Linked DNA regions of Arabidopsis thaliana. The protein of the gene in region 1 interacts with the protein of each later gene in a pairwise test. Each region holds a gene or a part of one and is shown in the gene's direction. Other genes may lie near its edges. The genes, in order: AT4G34920 and FOLK.

Region 1 (4,124 bases):
AGTTCGGTGTAGTTAGGGGAATTGATTTCAAAAAAGTTCACACGGTATGCTACTTGACTTTTGCTAAGGGGGTTTTCTTTTCTTTGTTTTTGTACTCTTTGCTGCTTGGGATATTGTAAGAATCCTTCTTTTCTTTGCTCTATACTCTTAACCTTCCCTTAAACCTTTTTTATGCACAGGTTATAAACTTTGATATGCCTCAAAGTGTTACTGGATATATCCATCGAATTGGGCGTACAGGGAGAGCATATAGCAGCGGATCTTCCGTTTCTCTTGTGAGTTTCTCGTCTAATAATACTGTTGTTTGGCATGATCTCTTTAAATTTTGCAAGTCTAATGCTCTGCTTTATTTGGCACAGATTTCTCCTGATGAGATGGAAGGGTTTGAAGATATAAAGTCCTTCTTAGCAAGCGACAAGAACAAGGATATTGATATTATCACACCCTTTCCTTTGTTGACCGAAAATGCTGTCGAGTCTCTTAGATATAGAGCTGAGGTGAGTAATCTCTGTAGTAAGATGATTACTTCTTTCATTAAGTGAACAGTATTAAAAGTTGCAATTTGTTTGCAGGATGTGGCAAAGAGTGTTACAAAGATTGCGGTTCGAGAGTCTCGAGCTCAGGATTTGAGGAATGAGATAATCAACTCTGAAAAGTAAGCAAGAACATAACTACGTGTGTGATGTGAATTCTCTTATTTTTTTCATCTTCTTAATTTCTCTACTTCTTTCTTCAGGTTAAAAGCTCATTTTGAAGCTAATCCAAGAGACTTAGATCTGTTGAGACATGACAAGCCTCTGAGTAAGACTGCACCTGCACCACATCTAAAGGACATCCCCGAGTATCTAGTGGACGCAAAGACTCAAGAAGCAAGCAAGATGGTAAAGCTAGCTAGAGCCGCAATGGGCAACACTAGGAGATCTGGTGGAGGCGGTGGTCGCAACAACAAAAACAAGAAACGGTCTAGAAAAGGCAGCGACCCACTCAAAACCTTCAACCCTAATGTAAAACACAACTGAATTTCTCCATTTCTTCTCTGTTTTGTGTGTATATTTGTGCTAATTTTTTCTATGTTGTTTGCTTACTTCAATCAACCAGGGGTCTAAGAGAGGAGCCGTTGGCCAGAAGGATGGCAAAGATTCTAGCTCGACCAAAAAACAGAAGACAGTTTAAGTTATTTCGTTTAGCGTAAGTGTAACCAAATTTTGACTCGTTATAGTCAATCACACAAAAGAACGGAGACGAGAGCATCAATCTTTGTAGCTCTATTCATGTAGCATCAGGAGACAAAGTTTTGTGAGCATATTATTAGCCTTTTGAGGTTTTTATTGAAATAGATTTTTGTAAGCTTATGAAGACGATATCTGCAGGGTTCAAAATACTCAAATCCACATGGTTTTGGACCCATTTAGATATTTTCGAAATGAATTGGCACATTATATGCTTGCACGTTTTTTGTTCCGAGTATTTATGCCACATGTGTCATCTAACTGATTGTGTATAATCAATTAAGTATACCAAATTGGATAAAATTTACCGATTGAAAATTAGTTGTTTTACTTGTACATCGTGGTCTATATATATCATTTTCCAACATAAATTATACACTTGAGAATAACACTTTCTGTTGAGTTGATTTCTTATATTAATGCCAAAGCTAAGACTAAATAAATTCTACAAAATATTTTTAAAAATTTTAACTTTTGAAAAGCTAACTTCAAATACTAAAATATATACTATTTGAAATTGATTAATATTATATAGACCAAGTTGGATTTTGATATAAACCACATCGCATATTCGTTTTATTAACAATTCATGTTTATCATGACCTAATTAGTTCTCTTAAATAGTTGTTGGCAACTTTTAATTAGATAGCCAATCAATTTGAATAAAGAGGTCAAACTCCAACCAATCCCACAACAAATAATTGTCTTTGATTTAACGTTTTACACTTAAAAGACAAACACTGCACGATATCTCTCTCAGATTTATAAGTGAACCCTACAAAGTACAAGTCGTAAACTCAACCACAAGAGAAACCTTATCTTCTTCTTCTTCTTCATCATCAATCTCTCAAGACATGCTCTCTTTTTTCTCTAACCAGATCGACCGGCAAAAAGATGTGTCTAATGAGGAAAAAACCCTAACCAATCTCGAAAAATCTGACGGTTCACAATTCCCTGGCGATGACTACCGTCCGTCCGATCGGAAAAACTGGATGGCTGGTCTTACGTTGGAGAAACTAACTCTAAACAAGATCGTGTGGCCAGGAACGCATGATTCAGCCACCAACGATATCGGAATACCTCTGATCTCTCGTCCTTTAGCTGAATGCCAATCGCTCTCTATCTACGAGCAGCTCGTCCTCGGGACACGTGTCCTCGATATCCGTGTGCAAGAGGATCGCCAAATCTGCCACGGGATTCTGACGTCATACGAAATTGATGTTGTCATTGATGACGTTATCAGATTCTTGTCGGAGACTCACTCGGAGATTGTAATCCTGGAGATAAGGACTGAGTTTGGACACAAAGATCCTCCGGGGTTCGAGACTTACTTGGCAGACAAGTTAGGTCAATTCTTGATACATCAAGATGATAGCTTGTTCAACAAGCCGGTATCAGAGATTTTGCCGAAAAGGGTTATATGCATCTGGAAACCTAGAGAGTCTCCAAAGCCGAGCCGTGGTGGAATTCTCTGGAACTCAGATTATCTAAAAGATAATTGGATCGATACGGATCTTCCATGGACGAAATTTCAGAGCAATTTGAAGCATCTGAGTGAGCAGCAGCCGACATCTTCTAGAAAATTCTTTTACCGGGTTGAGAACACGGTCACGCCGCAAGCAGATAATCCGGTTGTGTGGGTTAAACCGGTGACTGATCGGATCCGAAAACACGCCAGACTATTTATTTCTCAGTGTGTTTCCAAGGGATGTGGAGATAAGTTGCAGATTTTGTCCACTGATTTCATCGAAGGAGATTTCGTTGATGCCTGTGTCGGCCTTACTCACGCAAGAATCGAAGGAAAGGTTTGATAGAACTCTGGAACGATCGATGGTTGATCTCAAGCATTGGAACCAAGATTATTTGCTTTTGGGTTGCGTGTATCTTAAGTTATGCTATGTATTAAAGTGTGTAATTTAAGTTTTCTATGATTGTACATTATATCTGTTTTTCGTTATCCGTCCTGTTTGAAGAATCAAACAGAGAGATAAAGAGAAGGCAGGGGAATTTATTCAGTTGCTTTATTTTGCTCAGATTCTTGTACCAAGTTACATATCCTAGTGAAATTTCGAAACCCTTTTCGGCAAGATTAGCGTCTCAATATCCAAAACGCATCCGCCATCTAATGACCTCTTCAAGAAAGATTACTCATATATATGTTTTGGAGCAGCTTTTCTAAGCTCACTCAAATAGATTTGGATTTTGGACCACAAATCATTCACAGACCCTGCCTAAAACCTGACCATCTTTCTCTTTTCGGATTTTTCAACTATAGTCTTATTTTGGAGCGTCGGAATAATTAAATTTTGTTTATCTTGTTGATTAGTTATTGACTTATTTCAAAGCCTGATTAAATATTTATACAAAAGTAAACTTATAATTAGGAAGAAAAAAAGTTAAAATAAAGAGAAGGGTGTCTAAGAACATTCTGACAAATATTTTATCGAATATTGGATTATCGTATGAAATAGTTGTAAATAAACACATCGCATGTATATAGCTTGTCAACAACTTCATATATAATAATAAAGAACAACAACTTGATATCTTATATATGGTTTAGAAAGGAAAAGTCTTAGTGACGGAGTGGTGGCCAACTTCGTTAAGTTGAGAATTTAACCAGAAAGAACCTAAAGAAAGTTCTCATCTCTCAAATAAACATGTCTTTTTTCGGAAAACTCGCAGACACTGTGGTATCTTTTGCAAACGATTCTGCGAAATCTGTTGTAGAAGAAGTGGTAAATCCAACGGTGTCTTTTGCAAACAATTCTGCAAGAACTGTTGTAGAAGAAGTGGTAAATCCGACGGTCTCTTTTGCAAACGACTCTGCGAGAACTGTTGTAGAAAAAGTGCTAAATCCAACGGTATCGTTCATCGATAGCCAGCTCCAGCGGC
Region 2 (5,078 bases), on another chromosome or scaffold:
GCTGCTTGTAGAGGGAGAGTCTTGTGTAGTAAAGGCGTGGACTTGAGTGCTTTTAAATCTCTCAAAGAGTTTGAGATTGCGCATTTTGCTATATCACAGAAATCTGAGAAAAGGGTTTGATTTTGAAGTAAAGAGAGAGTGAGGGAGACGGAGAGAGCAAGAGAGAGAGAGAGAGAGAGAGAGAGAGAGAGAGAGAGAGAGAGAGAGAGTTGAAAACACAAGCTCTGTCTCCGGTGACAACACACAGTGCAGAGACAAAAAGGAGAGAGAGAGAGAGAGGAAGAAGAAGACGATGAAGTGTGATTGAGAATATAAATTATTTTTATAAAAAGGTCAATAATTTGGGGAGAAAAAAGAGTAATGGCGTCGATTTTTGCAAACCCAAAAAACATTTATATGGAAAAAAAATGGTCGAATCTCATATCTGTTTTTCTTTCTTTTATGCATTTTTTTGTGGAACAGTTTACGAACTTCAACAGTTGGTGGTTCTTATTGGGTGCGATACGAACCAGACCACTTTCCTTTCTCTTTCCTTTTTGTGTAAAGACCACTTTCCTTTTTTAAAACAATATTTTGTTTCTGTTTTTTTGGTGAGGAAATATTTTGTTTCTTTGTTAAATTGTTATTTTTTTCCATATTTGAAGATATTGGTATGGCTTTTAATTTGTGAAAATTTGGGTTTATTACAGAGTTATATGATGATTAAATATAGTTTAGAGAATTATAGATGGTTGGTTCGTTTCGGGTATAATTAAAATAAGCCTCTCTGACTATCCAACGTCATTGATTCATGTGATGCCAAGATAGGTAGGTTAACTAGTTATGTGGTTTCTTATCGGTTATCTCCTATCTAAACAATTGAGCTTAACATTAAACTTTGAAGATATTAACTTATCTCTCTAATGAACGAAAAAAATTCAGTTTTATTGGTTGATTGGTTATGATTTCAATGACTAACAAAGAAATGGTCTTTAATTTATGTACAGCATGAATTTACTCAATTTATTACATACAACATGATTTCAAAAAATTGCTTAAAATTTTGCAAAACATTTCTTTACTGTGATCACACTAATCATTTGTTAATCTGGTGTCTACTTTTTTACTCGCTAACGTGAGCGTGTATATTTATATTTTCTGAGATCTTCATAGTTTTAGGTTTTTAGCTTGTAGTTAGTTTTTTTTGTTCTCGATATTGGACCAACAACTATCAGGAAACGCATAATTTATTATATATATAAAAAACTCTCATAAAACGTACTGTATTAAAACAATAACAAATAAAAAGTGGAGAGAACTATATCCAGAACCAATTCTGATGTTCTTTTGCCCGCACACCTGGAAAACACATGCAAGTGTACTCTTTAAAGATAAACATATATACCATTTGCGAAATAATTGAGGATTTTTTTTCTTTTGCCAACAGATAAATAATATAAGATTGTTTCAGAAAAAAAATAAAGATGGATAATTGAGGATTAGGTTGGCATTATTTGATGCAAAAAATACTAAAGAAAATCTCACATTGAAATCAATTAAAATAATTTTCTTATGGTATATACAAGTTGATGCAAAATTGATAAAAGATTAAACAAGGCAAGAGACGTGTGGTCATGTGTCTCGGCAACCCATGTGAGGGAATCTGAATCACTTTTTTTTTTTTTTTTTTTATGTTTCTCGAATCTGAGTAGCACAATAATTGAATTGTGTTTCGTAACTAAATTAGGGATTTATTAATCATGAAAAATTATTTGATGAAATCAAATTGTGGTCCGTCTAGTTGACTTATACCAGCCCAAATTATTTAGCGAATATAAAGCCCAAACTAGGCCCACAATAACAAATTATGCGTTTCCTCAAACGAACACCACCATGTCATGAACCATTCTAGCCGAATCCAAATAGAACGAAACTAAAATTGCTTTAATCCATATGTGACCAGATAAAGTAAAACACTCCTTTTGGGGAAATAAATATCCACTTTTCACCATCTTTTTGGTAAACAATAAAACAAACCAAATTTTGTGTGCTTGAGCAACAACAACTACCAACCAGTTACTGTCAAAAAAAATAAATGAAAACGTAATCGAAGAAAAGGTCGTGTTTTCTAGTGTTGCAGAAAATGGCAACTACTAGTACTACTACAAAGCTCTCCGTTCTCTGCTGCTCTTTCATTTCATCTCCTCTCGTTGACTCTCCTCCTTCTCTCGCCTTCTTCTCTCCGATTCCACGATTCCTCACTGTCCGAATCGCGACTAGCTTTAGATCGAGCTCTAGGTTTCCGGCCACCAAAATCCGCAAGTCTTCACTCGCCGCCGTGATGTTTCCGGAAAATTCGGTTTTATCAGATGTCTGCGCGTTTGGAGTCACTAGCATCGTTGCGTTCTCGTGCCTCGGTTTCTGGGGAGAGATTGGCAAACGTGGCATCTTCGACCAGGTTTTCGATCATTCAATTCACTTAATTAAATTATACACGCGTCGATTTGTTGAATAACGTTTTTGGAATGTTGCTCGATTCTGCAATTTCTGGTTAAAGCAACTTTGGATTCAGAGTAATGGTAGTAGTAAGCTTTATCGAGTAATGGATGGCATTAATGGCGAGGATAATAAATCTTATTAGTTCAAGAAATTATAGAATGTGAATGGATACCTATTTTGGGGTGGAAGAACACTGCGATAAACAATGGGAAAGTAACCCCATATCTGGTAAATTAGTGGGAAAATTGCTCAGAACCCAATTTGGGGATGAAATTTTTTTGAAATTCGTGCGGTATAATCACAATCTCATCGTAACTTGAAGATTCAACCATATTTATGATATATATGAATTTTGTAGGTTTAAATGTTGCACAATTTCTTTGCTATACTTTGAAGGATTATTTCTTCGTATGAGTCAGTCTATACACATATTGGACATGGCTTGTTTTTTTTTCCTTTCTCTTATGTGTTTCTCCGCAGTGACTTGTTTTTCTTCAAGTAATTTGGTTAGGAGTAGAGGAATTATCTATGATTAGCAAAAATTCTATTAAACATTTTTGGTTTGGGAATACCTGTATGGCTTCAGCTACTTGATTTTGTTTCTCTGACCTTATCGTGATTAAGATATCATCTCAGAACCCATTGAATTTATAAGATCCACAGGCTGTCTGATGTAGGACTGACTCCACTTTCATGGTTTTATTGAATGAGGCATTGGTTTAACATCTGTGGTTGACATTGGTGTTATTTCTTATTTTTCAGAAACTCATCCGGAAGCTTGTGCATATAAATATTGGGCTAGTTTTTATGCTTTGCTGGCCGCTGTTCAGGTAATAATACGGAGTGAAAGGATCGATTTTGATGTACCAGCTTGCTTTTCTGCTTCACCAGTTTATTTCGATATCAATTGTTTCAGTTCTGGAATCCAAGGAGCACTTTTCGCATCTCTTGTACCTGGACTCAATATAGTAAGGATGCTATTGCTGGGGCTTGGAGTGTACCACGACGAAGGAACAATCAAGTCAATGAGCAGACATGGAGATCGCAGGTAGCTGAATCGAACAAGTGTCTGTCACAATATCCAACAATCTCTTAGCATTCTTGGTATCTATGATCAAAATTCGGTTTGTCTGTTTATTATTGCTTTTGTCACTTCACAAAGTGTCTGTAGTCGCTCTCTGCATCAGGGAACTACTTAAGGGGCCGCTTTACTATGTACTGTCAATCACATCAGCCTGCATCTACTATTGGAAATCATCCCCAATCGCGATTGCGGTGATATGCAACCTTTGCGCAGGAGATGGTAAGTACAGTTAGCTCTGGTTTGATCCAATAACATTAGCAACTTTTGTCTTAGGAATTTGAATCCATTGAATGATGATTCTAATACACACACTTGCTGTTAAAAGGTATGGCTGACATTGTGGGTCGGCGGTTTGGAACAGAGAAGCTTCCTTACAACAAAAACAAATCATTTGCTGGTAGCATTGGAATGGCCACCGCCGGGTTTCTAGCATCTGTTGCGTATATGTACTACTTTGCTTCATTTGGTTACATCGAGGATAGCGGGGGAATGATTCTTCGTTTCCTCGTCATCTCTATAGCATCAGCTCTTGTGGAATCACTCCCAATAAGCACCGACATTGACGACAATCTCACCATTTCCTTAACCTCTGCCTTGGCCGGATTCTTACTCTTCTAATAATACCCTCTCGTTGTTATGTATCATCAAATAAAGGGTCGAGCTTGATTGCTGATATGGAGGTAAAACTGCATTCATTGTTCCCATCTTCTTCTGTATGTACGTATTAGTGAAACATCTCATATTGTTGTTGTCCACAAATCTTATTTTTCAGCTGCAATTGCAGTTGGGTACAATGTTGTAATGTTCTATCCATTAGTGAGACATATGATGACGAACAGTGACGCTTCTACAATTTGTAACAGATACTCTTTTGTAACAGATATTCAATACATGTTTGTTTGTTATTTGGCCTATGGCTATGTGGAAATGGATTGTTTGCTTACAACAGGTGAGGGCTTGAGTGTCCCGCTCCAGGAAGCCTCTTCTGACAGGTCGGACTGGTGACTGTAACGGCGTTTCAGACAAGGAAGCAACACGAGGAACAAGAGGAAGACGGCGAAGCTGATGACAAGAACTACCGTCAAGATCTCACCATGCATGGCGTAGTGTCTGTCTCTAGTGAAAGTAAGTCGTTCGCCATCTTCAGGACTCGAGGCCTCCACCGTAGAAGTTACCATTAGAGAGGTAATCTCAAATATTCTCAAATCTCAACTCCTTTGCTCATACCTACTTCATACTGTCATGCATCATCTTGGAGGGATTTGTGTCTGTTTCTTTTTCCTCTCTGAAATATAAATTTGACTTGGGAGAATATGTATCAAATGAAAACAATATGTCACCACAGAAGAAAAGAAGAGTTTAAATATATTTCTTTGGGATAATTTAGTAGATGGATTTTTGTATAAAGGTTGGTGTAGAAAGTGAGACTGGGACGTTCGTTAGTGATTGCTCTCTACATATGGGGCGTTGGATTGGGTCTTTTTGGATCTTACGTGCGACGTCGTTTTCGTAATTT

What was found.
Region 2: the proteins of AT4G34920 (region 1) and FOLK interact in a protein complementation assay, tested with the Arabidopsis thaliana proteins (one large-scale study listed by BioGRID).

Annotation. Positions count from the first base shown.
Region 1 is NC_003075.7:16,633,662-16,637,785, forward strand, and holds AT4G34920 (PLC-like phosphodiesterases superfamily protein), read left to right. Parts: upstream 1-1,842; 5' UTR 1,843-2,083; coding exon 2,084-3,040; 3' UTR 3,041-3,322; downstream 3,323-4,124. Other genes in the region: AT4G34910 (P-loop containing nucleoside triphosphate hydrolases superfamily protein), read left to right, coding at 1-44, 180-275, 360-497, 573-655, 737-1,004, 1,099-1,173; AT4G34930 (PLC-like phosphodiesterases superfamily protein), read left to right, coding at 3,890-4,124.
Region 2 is NC_003076.8:23,668,391-23,673,468, forward strand, and holds FOLK (Phosphatidate cytidylyltransferase family protein), read left to right. Parts: upstream 1-1,876; 5' UTR 1,877-2,122; coding exon 2,123-2,437; intron 2,438-3,240; coding exon 3,241-3,308; intron 3,309-3,394; coding exon 3,395-3,526; intron 3,527-3,665; coding exon 3,666-3,781; intron 3,782-3,887; coding exon 3,888-4,180; 3' UTR 4,181-4,479; downstream 4,480-5,078. Other genes in the region: EOL2 (ETO1-like 2), read right to left, coding at 1-84; AT5G58570 (uncharacterized protein), read right to left, coding at 4,480-4,740. UniProt on the Arabidopsis thaliana protein: Kinase involved in negative regulation of abscisic acid (ABA) signaling. Substrate preference is farnesol > geraniol > geranylgeraniol, but has no activity with farnesyl phosphate. Can use CTP > ATP > GTP = UTP as phosphoryl donor.